Neodiprion lecontei: one gene and its partner. The protein of the gene in region 1 purifies or fractionates together with the protein of each later gene. This does not show direct contact. Links are inferred from orthologs where the notes say so. Each region holds a gene or a part of one and is shown in the gene's direction. Other genes may lie near its edges.

What was found.
Region 2: the proteins of exportin-6-A (region 1) and zinc finger matrin-type protein 2 purify together in Homo sapiens (co-immunoprecipitation; 3 studies listed by BioGRID and IntAct, with this or other methods). This does not show direct contact. The link is inferred for Neodiprion lecontei from reciprocal best matches to the Homo sapiens genes XPO6 and ZMAT2.

What each region holds. Positions count from the first base shown.
Region 1 is NC_060264.1:2,806,085-2,814,327, reverse strand, and holds exportin-6-A, read left to right. Parts: upstream 1-2,121; 5' UTR 2,122-2,353; coding exon 2,354-2,356; intron 2,357-2,724; coding exon 2,725-2,928; intron 2,929-3,045; coding exon 3,046-3,240; intron 3,241-3,328; coding exon 3,329-3,488; intron 3,489-3,585; coding exon 3,586-3,845; intron 3,846-4,120; coding exon 4,121-4,284; intron 4,285-4,516; coding exon 4,517-4,823; intron 4,824-4,897; coding exon 4,898-4,990; intron 4,991-5,066; coding exon 5,067-5,235; intron 5,236-5,343; coding exon 5,344-5,503; intron 5,504-5,573; coding exon 5,574-5,929; intron 5,930-5,997; coding exon 5,998-6,325; intron 6,326-6,470; coding exon 6,471-6,668; intron 6,669-6,751; coding exon 6,752-7,030; intron 7,031-7,116; coding exon 7,117-7,282; intron 7,283-7,385; coding exon 7,386-7,463; 3' UTR 7,464-7,850; downstream 7,851-8,243. Other genes in the region: SWI/SNF-related matrix-associated actin-dependent regulator of chromatin subfamily A containing DEAD/H box 1 homolog, read right to left, coding at 613-803, 914-1,116, 1,328-1,436; alpha-aminoadipic semialdehyde dehydrogenase, read left to right, coding at 8,160-8,243. UniProt on the Homo sapiens protein: Mediates the nuclear export of actin and profilin-actin complexes in somatic cells.
Region 2 is NC_060265.1:7,534,864-7,539,135, forward strand, and holds zinc finger matrin-type protein 2, read left to right. Parts: upstream 1-1,671; 5' UTR 1,672-1,799; coding exon 1,800-1,811; intron 1,812-2,020; coding exon 2,021-2,241; intron 2,242-2,328; coding exon 2,329-2,402; intron 2,403-2,536; coding exon 2,537-2,682; intron 2,683-2,740; coding exon 2,741-2,884; 3' UTR 2,885-3,530; downstream 3,531-4,272. Other genes in the region: adenosine kinase, read left to right, coding at 48-221, 335-605, 812-1,081, 1,206-1,418. UniProt on the Homo sapiens protein: Involved in pre-mRNA splicing as a component of the spliceosome.

The sequences.
Region 1 (8,243 bases):
TGTCACAACAACATACTACAAAAATATAACTGGATTGGACAAATAAAAAGTTTTCCAAGCCAATACAAAGAACCGCAATATTTCCTTCAAGAATTTTAAAAGAAAATAAACCGCCGTTGTGTGAAGAGTATAAAATATGTTTCTATGCGTTAGATTTAGCAAAATATAGCCAATCTACAATACTCATAATATTTTCAGAACTACCACTAAAGGCAGACACAAGAATAACTCTCAAAACGATTAAAATTATTGCATAAATTAGATAGCTGAATAATGTATGCTGTAGAATTGTAACAGACCCAAAGCAACATAAAATTAATAATCATTTATACCTATTACAGTTACTGCTGTACCAGAAACAATCTTATGCATATGACTATGCTAGTGAATGGTAAAAGCTTGATCTCATTTAATTTTTAGAGAATCCTGTACTCATTTAGTTTCACATATACCTACATTACAAAAAGATAATAACATATTGTTACAAATAAAATTAACTCCTTTATATCACTTAAGTATAATGGAAAGAACAGTACAATGATTAAATACATACTTCAAAAATCAGCATTCAAGCATGTTTCTCTGAAAAAGTTTGAAGCCATCAAAACTCACCTATCGAATACCCTATTCTTGTAGTTCTTTTCATCTGAGTCATTATCAACATCCTCGTCGTAATCAACTTTTCTCCTTTTTTTCTTACTAGACGACAACGGTTTATTGCCAAGTCTCTTCCGCTGGCTATTAAGCTGTCTCTCTGCTTCATCCGTCTGCCAGTTGGAGTTATTTAGCGCTTCGAGAATTCGCTGTACAAACAGAAAGAAACATAGAATTAAGTATCTGAAATTAAAAATGCGCCAACTTGGGCATTGGCTTGAATTTGACATGAAATTTGGCATTGAGACATGGAACAAACCGGAGCATCGAGGCGAGGATACAATGTACTCAGGTACTTGAATTTTTCTTCCCTTTCTTTGGTTTCTGGTTTATTGTCAACGTGTGGCATCGAACCTTGCAGCTTAGTCGGGCTTCCCACATCGCTGTCACTGTCTTCGATCCTGTTCACTGGCTTACGTCGTATTTGGTTTCCAGAACTCGTCAGGTTACTGTCTTCATCAGCTACAGGCACAAACATCAGAATTTGGTTTTGTTACATGTATTGCTAAAGGTGAGGATAGTAATAAAACAGGATGGAATGGGGGTAAGAAGCTGAAAGAAAAACGGAAAAGAAAAACTGAGGTAAGGTGATTTGAAGTGAATTTAAGTGAAACGTTGAGAAGAATAACGATTGCAATTGCAATTACAATGAAAAATTTTCCATGGGACTTACACGTGTTCATCTTTTTCACTGGTTTTTTCTGAAATCTAAATTTGCGTAAATTTTCCAAAAGACTGTGGCTGCCCGTTGATTTAATCTCAAATGAATTTGAATCTGACATATTATCCCGTCAACTATCGGTGTAGCGCGATAGAGGTGACATTTCGTGGTGTTTGAGATTCTTTCTTTTAGTTTTTCAAAGGCAACCTCCAACAAATGGAGATTATAATAACAGATGCACGGACCCAAGCCGTGTATACTACATGTAGGTGTATATTGTAGAGTATGCAGTTTGTATCTTTAAAATGTAAACGCTTCACTCGATTCACGATCTCGCGTTGCGGAATTTTCACCGCTGAACTTGTAGAGGAAAGATGGCTAATACACGACTCTTGGCGACGGCCGAATGATGGCCGCGAAGTTGGCGAACACCTGCAAGATAAATCATCCGTAGTTTTTTGTGATGTCGAGTCGAGGGTCTTCGTTCAGTTCTCCATAGCGTCGATAGTTTATGGTTCGTAACGAGGGTTTCGAAATTCGATTATTTTCGAAAAGAATGCTGAGGATCTTAATTTTCTCTTGCTTAAACGTCTCCGCCAGTTTTCGAAAAACCGAGATCTTCCAAGTTGCATCGAACTACTCCGTGATAGATCTGCAGCTTACGGACAGACACGTCTGCGAAGAGGTAATTAGTCTCAAAGAGCCAGCCGCTGCTTGAATACGAAATATCGATTTCATCGGTAGAAATAGTCGATGGCTAGAAAAAAGAAATAATCGATTATTCATGTAAAAGAATACGAGTGGAATGGAGGTCGAGTCGTTGCACGGCTAACTTCATAGGATAATCCAACCTTGGCTTTAACTCCCACAGTCCCACCGCGAAGTGCGGAGCGATTGGAGTAACGTCTGTAATTATCGCGGATGGTTCGTACGCCCGGGCGATTCGGTGCTACTGCTGTTCGCATCTATGCGAAAATAAACATCTTTTTCCTATAACCATCCGTCATCAGGTCAGCTGTCAATTGTTGACCGATCAAAATGGTAAGATATCTCTCAGAATCAGTCACACCCGAATACGACAAAGCTGTATGACAAGGGCCGCCGTGCATATCACGCAGGGCGAGACAATCCTGTATAACAATACTTGCGATCCTGCCAGGGTTTTCAGTTACACTATTGCTTCTTCACTGTACTAAAAATTGGTGGAAATATCAATCTGACTTACCGTTTCTCTGATTATTCTTTTCACGAGCTATCTGGGGTCTGGTTAAGCCCCACCTCTGCTTCCCTTTCCTTCCATAAGCTTCACAAGTCTCCAAGTTATCTTTGCATGTAGGTCGCTTCGAACAAGCGACATTAGGCATGCTCAGCTTCGATCAACCTGTTATGGAAGATAGTTTTCTTTACAGGACAACGATGCAGCTGTGCTTCGGAGGCTGGAGCAACTGATGACTGAATTTTTCTCACCACAAACCAGCAATGATCAAAAACGATCAATCGAACAGAGCCTTCATGAATTCGCGGCACAAATCGACTCTTGGAGGCTGTGTCTTTACTTTTTGTCATCAACTGACAATCGCTATGTCAGCATGTTTGCACTCACTACTCTCGAGGCGAGTAAAACTGCTCTATTAGTCATTTTTAGTTTTTTTTTTTTCTCTCTCCTTTAAACCAGTTGCATTTCCCATGTGCAGAAGCTAATATTTGGTATCTGATTGCTTCCAATCCAGCAGACAGCAATTGGACGTCGATGGCCAGTGCTGGGATGGGAAGACAGAGCTATTGTAAGATCAACGCTGTACACTCTCTCCCTAGAACGTGGTATAACTCCGTTTGTTCGGAACAAGGTGGTCAAGTTGGTGGTTGATATCGCCAGGCATGACTGGCCTCACTTTTACTCCGACTTTTTCTCAAATATTTTACAGGCACGTACCTAGTTCGGTGCTCTTTGTGGCTTGCGTTTAAAAACATTTGTATTTAGATGTATAATCGATGAAACACGTTTATTTGTAGTTATTAGGTCACAGGCACACAAGACTATTGGGTCTGGTTTACCTGAAAACTGCTTCTGAGGAATTGGGAACCCCGAGAGAGGACTTACCACTTCACCGAAAAGCGGAATTGCTTAGGTTGTTCAACAGTTTGGTACCAACCGCCTTGGATGTTCTTACAGGTGAATAATTTTATCAACATGAAAGAAATAACAGTAAATAGAATTCTATTATTATGCTGAGAATATTTATGACTTTGTATCCTTTCTGTGAATTTAGAACTTCTTGTCGAAACAACCAAACATCAGAATAGGTCCGGCACAATAACTCCGCCACCTTCGCCGACGGGTGCTCAAAGTGCTCCTCTCCAAGGGAGAACTGTTTTAGATGTGGAAGGACTTGCAGCTGGTAGCGGGGAAATTTGCACCATCACCCTGGAAGTTCTGGCACATTTGTTCACCTGGATAACTCTCACTGATCATTTTTCTACCAACCTATTGAACGTTATTTTCACCTGTGCCAAGTATCGTGATTCAATGGTAATAAACAATAGTTATTAAATAATCCTGACTAGAAACGATAATCTAAAAGTCACCAATTTCTTTTGGAGGCTTATATCGCTTATGTAATACTTCTAACTGATTCTTTTCCGTATTGTCAAAAGTTTAATCTTCCCATTCAGCTGTCAGGGCTTTAGATTGTTAAATCATCTAAGTAATTCAGCAAACTCTTTATACCGTGTCTTGTTTCTCTTTCTGCAAAAAACCATGAAAAAGAGTTGCAAAATTAATTAAAACAAACATGAATTGAATAGAACGGAAGGCAGATTGAGACAGCCGTGCAAGCATTGACGACAATAAATGAACTGTTGTACCGCCCAAGCTCACCGAGTGCCACAGAGAGCTTGCTGCTGCAGATATTTCAACGAGGGATAGAACTATTTCAATCCATAGAACATCTAGAGTCCATCGACGAAAGGTGATTCCGATTTACAAGTTCCAATCGTTCCCGTCTGACCGTCCGTCCGTTCATCCACCTATCCCTCCCTACGTTAGGCCGGTTGTAAAGAAAATACTGGAAAGTTCGTGACGACGGTTTTGCCGTCGGTAACTATTATATGTATGATATAATACTTGCGCTAAAAGTGATAATGAGAACTAAATCCAATTAAACATATGCTAATTATTGTTTTTGGGGTTTACTTTCTTAGCTACTTAGAAAAAATGACCGAGTATCTGCAGTTATTCGTTACAAATCACCTCAAAAAGGTTGAATCTTGCCCAAAGTTTCCCGTCAATGCGCTTCTCGAGGTATTATACCATCACACGTTTCAACGCTGCATCACACCGATGGGGTATACTAGATCATTGGAGGTTTGGTCCATACTGCTGGAAAGCACTCAGGCTCGCTATGCCACAGTCGCTCTCGCGCTCGCAGAACGCGTCTTACAAAAAGTCACCTTCAAATTTAACGCGCACACTCTAAAGGTTCTGGACACTGATACATTGGACGAAAATGTAAGTGGTTTACCTAATCGTGCTTTATCTCACCTTACAAAAGATAATCTCTAATTTTTCAAACATTTTTGCAGGATGAGACGGAGTGGCAGCATTTTTTACGCTGCAATATCGAATGCCTTGCCAAAGTTGCAGACATCTCTCCTATACCGGTGTTCACACTGCTGGTGCGATATTAAATCTTGTATCTTTTTTCCCAGGGACTATTTAGGTATATATTTTATGCTACTTTTATGTTCCCAGTATCAATCCTGGCGGGAGAGTCTATCAGTTTACGCAAAGTTAGGTTCAGCCGTAGCAAGTGGTCAGGTAGTTGTCCTAAACGATTCCGAAGCTTCTAATGTAAGAATTCATTTACGGGACTTGGCGTCCATGACTCAGGCTCTGGCTCGATTGTATGTTCATTTTGTTGGTAAGTTGTATCATTTGAAGTTCATGTTGAGTGATGAATTTATACTGGAAAATACGAAAAGCAGATTTTCAGACAAAGGAAGAAAATAGGTTTACAATTCTTTTGAAGACAAACGTTTTGGAAAAATAGGGGATCAACCAGGGATCGATTGCTCATTGGCCGAGGAACTAGTTTCGCAAACTTTCGAAGTCTGCACTTTTGCCAAGGACAACCAACTGCACAGGGCCAATCTTCAGCCAGTTGAAATACTTCAAGACCTAGTCGAAGTGTAAGCTTATTGGTCAAATATTCGTATGCACGTTTTGCTCAAAAAAATTTTCTCATGCTCCGTCTTCCAGAAATTCACAGATGTTGGCTTCACTCCAGGCATGGTGCCATTGGATATCGGAAAGGCCAGAAAAATTGAAGGACAGTTTAAGTCAACGATGCGTGCAGTCCTGTATTTGGGCCTTGATGCCTAACACGTTTCCCCAAAATTTACCGCCAAAATTTGTTCACTCAGCTGCGCATCTGATGCAGAGCACAGTTTCTATTCTCAAACCAAACCTCTGGGATCAACCTGCATTTAGTGATTTAGTTGTTGCTGGCTCCCATCCGCATCTTAATCAGGATACCGCAAAGGTCCTCAGGAGAGCCCTGGTCAACGGAATAATTCTCCCTGCTGGAGACATCGGAGCGCGGCAAAGACTAATGGGTAAGAATTAACATAGAGATGACGTTTGGTCATTTTTCATCACGCGAATTATAAATAACTTCCCATAGGCACGATGGTCACGGCTCTTTCGCATCCACTAGGAGGAGAGGGGCAGCCGGTGCCTCCTGAAATTGTAGTATCATCGTCGGTACTATCACTCAAAGAGTTGTTGGAAGATTGTCGTTCGTCGTCTACAGCAATAAAAAAACTCTTACACACTAATCTAGAATCAACAGTGAATCGAGTACTGGAACTTCTCCCTCATCTCATCAGATTTCCAGGAACATGTGAAACATTGCTTAGCTTTCTCCACAGCGCCTTTGCTGTTCTTCAGCAACAACTGGGACCAGAGTATACACAAAATGCGGCGCAAGCTATGCTGCACATCTTTACTCGGTAATAAGCATTGTTAAATGTGTGAAGTAAATGGGATGTCTGAAATAGCAGAAATGTTAAAAAATCTAGCGAACAAAACTTACCAACAGCTTGAAAATATCAAACCTTTTTCACCTTCGTTAAATTCTGCATCAATATTTTACAGTGAAAATATATCGATCGGACCAACGTTGGATCAGCTCCTGGAAATATTGATTTTGGTTGTGTCAGCACCTGGCAGAGCTTTCAAAGCGTTCGTGCCATCAATAACAGACTTGTGCTTGAGCAATGTGTGGCCCGTTGTCAGGAGTGATTTGAGCGATCACCCGGATACCACCATAGTTTTATTACGCTTGTTACATAGGTAAAGTGTAACGATTAATCAACTTTACGATCAATTATTCAATTTTATGGGAGTAAAATCCGTCCATACTTGTTTCTTTGCAGTATTTTAATGCACCATTGGCAGTACTTTTACAACTCATCCGTACTACGGACTTTCGGTAATCCCGACGAAGCGGAGCCGGTTGAGCACAGAGAAGAGTTAGTCGCTATTTTGGAAGCGTTTGGTCAGGCGTTACTACAACCAGACGTGAACATATTTCGTCAGAGTCTTCAGAGTCTGGAACAACTAAACTCTAGATGCCGTCTGTACCAGCGTTCTATTTTCAAAACTAATTTACTTGAGAGATTTTTGGCAGCACTTTTTACAGTTTTGTTTCAAAGGTATAAAAAATTTTTTCTTCTCATTTAGAGGAATTTTAAGTGTGTCTACGAATCTGGTCAACAATCTTATATTCATCCCATTTCAGATCTCACGATCTCTTGGCCGACGAAATAGCGACTGCAGTTCACAGTCTTGCGCTTGTCAACTGTGATTGGTTTTTTGGTGAATTTTTGCCAAAATTTTTAACTGGATGTGAGGGACTAGACGACGAACAGAGATGCACACTTTTAGAAAACTTTGACCGAGCAACAGTGAGTATTAATTTTATACTTTATTATGCAATGTAGATGGAAGATTAGTTTACCTATAAATACATAACACATGTTTCTAATTCCAATTTTTTTGTTTTTTCAGGATCAACCGACATTGACAAGATCTGTTCTTCGTATGGTGACTGATTTGAGGTGCTATCAATTTTGTCGGACTGTTTAATATATGTATTATACATACATATCTCCTTTCCTCCACTCTCATATAAATGCGCTAGTACATTACATGACTTTCTGTATTTTTGTTACGAAACGAAGACAAAAAAAAATAATTAACGGTAAAAGATAGTAATTAATAGCCGGCGATAGTCTTTTCGGGAAAAGCATTGATATTTCATGTTTCAACTTCGGCGTACAATTATCAGTCTCGAGTTTTAAAATTGTATAATTATCAATCGCATTCACCCGATGCAGCAAAATACTGCCATATCTATACATTGTATATTCCTATTACGTAGAATAAGAGAGTCAAATGAATTTTATTCGCCCGTTCAATTATTTATGTATAAAACTTCATTATTATGAATAATTATTACAAATTATGAAATTTCTAAATCACTTGATTCATCTATCCCTCGTCCGATATTTGTTGAAATATACAATTTTTATAAAAAGAACCAAGTACTGTCTATCAAATGCGATTGAAAAATGATGTGGCAAACTGAAAAGACCAGACAAAGTGCATATCTATGCATTCGTTTTGTAATGGTTACGTACGTTATGGTCTGTTTGTATTTGTCACTCCGTGAGTGATAAATAACGATAACACCGATTCTGATAACCCGAGACCTCTGTTTGACGTTATTTCATTACTATGGTCTGTGATTATGTTAGTTATTCTTGGGAAACATAGTCGACAATGGCGAGAATCTTGCTGTCAATAAGAAACTTTGGCCGATTTACCGGCAAGCAGAAAGCAAGATTTATTCCTATCAGAAATCTG
Region 2 (4,272 bases), on another chromosome or scaffold:
ATAGAAATAACTCTTCGAATATTCAGTATTTAATTATTAAATTACAGATCAGAGCAAAATATCAGTCCTGGAGGCTGTGCTCAGAATACAATCAGAGTTATTCAATGGTTGTGTGGTGGACAGAGTGGACCGCAACTGGGATTGTTCTGTGGAGGACTTGGAAATGATTCTCGGGGGAAAATACTCCAAGACATGGTTCGAGCAATAGGAATTGATGCTCGGTATTTTGTTTATCTATGGCATACGACCAGACTTAAATTTATGAATTGCAGAATACATCTAACAGTCTGATTTATACTAAGGTTCTAATGCCTGATTCTTAATTTCCTCCTAGCTATGCAATTCACCCTGATCTACCAACTGGTGTTTGCGTATCAATGGTAAAGAGACCATGGCGGAGCCTCGTAGCAAATTTAGGTGCTGCTAGTGTGTATACTTTGGATAATCTGGCGCAGCATGATTTGCCGTTAAATTCACTGAAAATAATTTATATCGAAGGATTCTTTATAACGCATAGTTTTGACGTTGCTTTGGAGTTGGTGAAATTGGCTCGAGATAAGGGTATTACTGTAGCATTCAATATCAGTGGCGAATATATCTTCCAGGTTACGTTTCTATACTTGAATAATGTGAAAAATTCTATTAATTTTGTTGCTAACCTACTAACAATACATTTTATTCCATTGGAAATCTTTTCGACAAAGCCTAAATTAACTTGGAACTTGTTGTAAAGAGTTTTGTACTGATATAAAATTACAAAAAATATAGTATGTACTATTCTCAAGACATTCAAACTTCTATATTCTTTTAGGAGCATCAAGTTGCCATTTGTGATATGGTTGGTTTGTCCGGAATTGTATTTGGTAATGCCAGAGAGATGACAGCTTTGGCTCGCGTATTAAATCTCCAGTTCAACAATGTTCAGGAGATCCCATTCCTTCTAAACAATTTGAAAAGGGTCACAGTTGGTGCATCTAGTAAGAATGATGGCAACTGGTTGTCAGATGAGGGTATCATTGTGATGACTCAAGGTGGAAAATCTCCTGCCATCGTCGTTTGGGGAGAGGGTGAATCTGCACAGGTACAAATTGAGGATTTTAATCCTGAATGATAACTGAAAGAATTTGCAATAGCGATGTAATAAATTTCAATCTTAGAATAGTGAAATTACAGGTAAATGAATACAGCTTGAGTTTAATATCTAGATAACGTTTCAGGTTCTACCCGAAATTCCTGAAAACCCTGTACTGGATACAACAGGTGCGGGTGACTCATTGGTGGCTGGTTTTCTGCTCGGTGCTTTAGTTGGACGTAGTCCAAAGGCATGCTTGAAATTGGGCTGTAAAGTAGCAAGCATGATCGTTACTAGAGTTGGCGTAACCTTTCCAGAATCAATACCGGCCCATTTACTACAATAAATATACAATACAAAATTGGAATCTCTTCAAAGCTATTTGAACTTTCATCTAACAAAATAAATAGACCTAGTTAATTTAAAAATTTTTGACTTCATTTTTAAATTAATTGCCTGTGTGTCAGTCGGTAAAAGACCGTGGTCGGTAATAATTCCGTGATACATACCTCGTGCTCTAAGGGGGTATATCACTTGGTGTTTTTCTTTTATCAACGCAGTTATGAGTTTATCTCTCGTTCTGTAGATGGCGTTACAACTAAATTGGCTTTAGCTATACTAGTGGAAAGTGAGGAAACATCAAACAGAAGTGAACAGAAGTTTGGGTAGGAGCCTTAGCTGCAGGATTATTTACGTGCGTAATAAACGTTCAGCACTTATCGTCACAATGTCCTCTACGGTGAGTAAAATACAAATATTTAATAATAAAACGCAGAAAATTAATCGTACACACATTTTTGATGGTATTCTCTTACAATGAACGATCGTAACCTCAAAATTCGACAAACAACCTACGAAGGGTATGATAGTTTGTTAAAATTGTGAACTTTACTGTATTTTGATGTAGTATATCGCTTCATGGAATATTCCATAATTTTTTTATTTCAGCGTCCTGACGATCATCGTCGGAAGTGGAATAGGGAGGAATATGAACGTATAGCGCTACAAAGGCTTCAAGATGAGATTGCCGAAGAGGACTTGGGTATTCCTAAACAGCCAGCGGTTAAAAGAGAGCTGCTCAAACAGCGTGATTACAAGGTTGATCTTGAATCAAAACTTGGAAAAAGTGTTGTCATCAATAAAAATACACCATCATCGCAGACTGGAGGGTAAATTTTTCAAATCTATTTGAAAACTTTTGGCGATTTATCACAGTAAATATTTTTAGTTCTTAACATGCTTTTTCCTTTCTATAGATATTATTGCAATGTCTGCGACTGTGTCGTTAAAGACTCCATCAACTTTTTGGATCACATTAATGGCACGAAACGTAAGTTTACAAATTTTCATTTATTATGATAAAAGATCTTCTCAATTTGTCGACCTGCATTTTAATCAACATATGTCCATTATTCCATCTTATTTCCCTTCATGCGTAACTAATAATGTAACTCCCACTTACAGATCAACGTAACTTGGGAATGTCCATGAAAATTGAACGCTCATCATTGGATCAAGTTAAAGCGAGGTTCGCTCACAACAAAAAGAAATTGGAAGAAAAAAAGAAAGATTACGACCTTGAACAGAGAGTAAAGGAATTGAAAGAAGAGGTAATTATTGTTTTGAAAAAGTCGTTATCGGTCAATAACCGATTATGTTTGTTCTCAGGAAGAAAAAATCAAGGAATATCGAAAAGAGAAGAGGAAAGATCGGAAGCGGAAGTTAGACGAGGCCAATGAGGACGACGCAGGACCTTCTGATGAAATGGCTGCAGTTATGGGATTTTCTGGCTTTGGCTCAAAAAAAAAGTGAGATAAAAATAGTGAAATTGATATGTTTCATTCTCTACTTGATGCGCGTGTAATGAACATGTTCCCAAAGTGTACACGGACGACTAAGATGAGTTTGACATCTTCAAGTGCAATTGTGATAACTCAATTGTCATGTTTCTGTTGGATGCTCATAGGATGAAAATCTGCGTTTGTTTGACCAGGTAAATTACATTGATTATAAACTATAATTTCTCATGAAGTGAATTATTCGTATTCTTCTTAATTAAAAAATTAAATAACAGATATATGAATAACTGCATGTCGTATATTTTCGGAAGTATGAACTGCGAGAAAGAAGCAACATTTATCGAATGTACGTATTATAATTTTATTTGCAGTGAACATTGTCGGTAACAAATTAATTCATAAAACGTGTTTCACTAGAAAGTATACCGTACAGTGAAAATATAGAATAAATACAAATTAATGATATTTAACAAAATGAAAGTAAGTGAATAATAATTTTACATGAATAAGTTAACCTGTTATAAAGCAAATGAGGATATGAAAAAACAAAGATTAAGATTTTGATTGAATATCAAACATACTGCCACATTAGTTTTAATTGGGATGGAAAGCTTTCACCTTATAAACTTTGTCATATTCGCAAGAATAATTGGACAACATTTTTTCTGGACTTAAAGTCTTTTCTACCCATGTTTCACTGTTTATATCATGACGTCTACGTTTTCGCGGTATTTCATTGGTACCTAGATAGTCGTTGCCAGTCGTAGCATCTATTTTATCTTGATTATCTAACCATTCTCTCACAAATGCTTGTACATTTTTCGAAACACTTGAAAAACTGTTGGTGGCAGAAAATCTGCTGGTACTGTGGTCTGAAATATTTGAGTTACAGTCACTTGTTTCAGGAAATGGATCTATCGATAAATGCTGGATTTTTGGGAAACTGTTTTGAGGTATGTTAATCGTTGTAGATGCTTGACACTTTTCTTCAGATGTGTTACAAGCTCTGATCACTTCTGTGTCAGTAAAATTCTGATTTTGATCAGAAACATAGGGTCGCTGAAGATGTTGCTTTGTTAAGCTGAATGCAGCAATATCTTCAAGTATTGCAGGTTGCTTCGGCAAGTAAAAATTGCCTAGGTGTTTTTTTTCACCGACAAAATTTTTAGATTCGTACTTGGGACTGTAGGTATAGTTCAACTTAACAGGTGACCTGTTTTCTAGTTCTGATTTTTGCTCTTTTATAACCGAGTTGCAGATCCTGGATGAAAATTTCATTGTATTTTCATCTTTCTTTCGAATCAAGGAACGCTTTCTGTGTGATCGCAAATACATGGCCTGTGTGATCTCAAAACTAGAGTCCTTAACTTCCGTGAAAGGCTGACTCTCCTGTTCAAAACT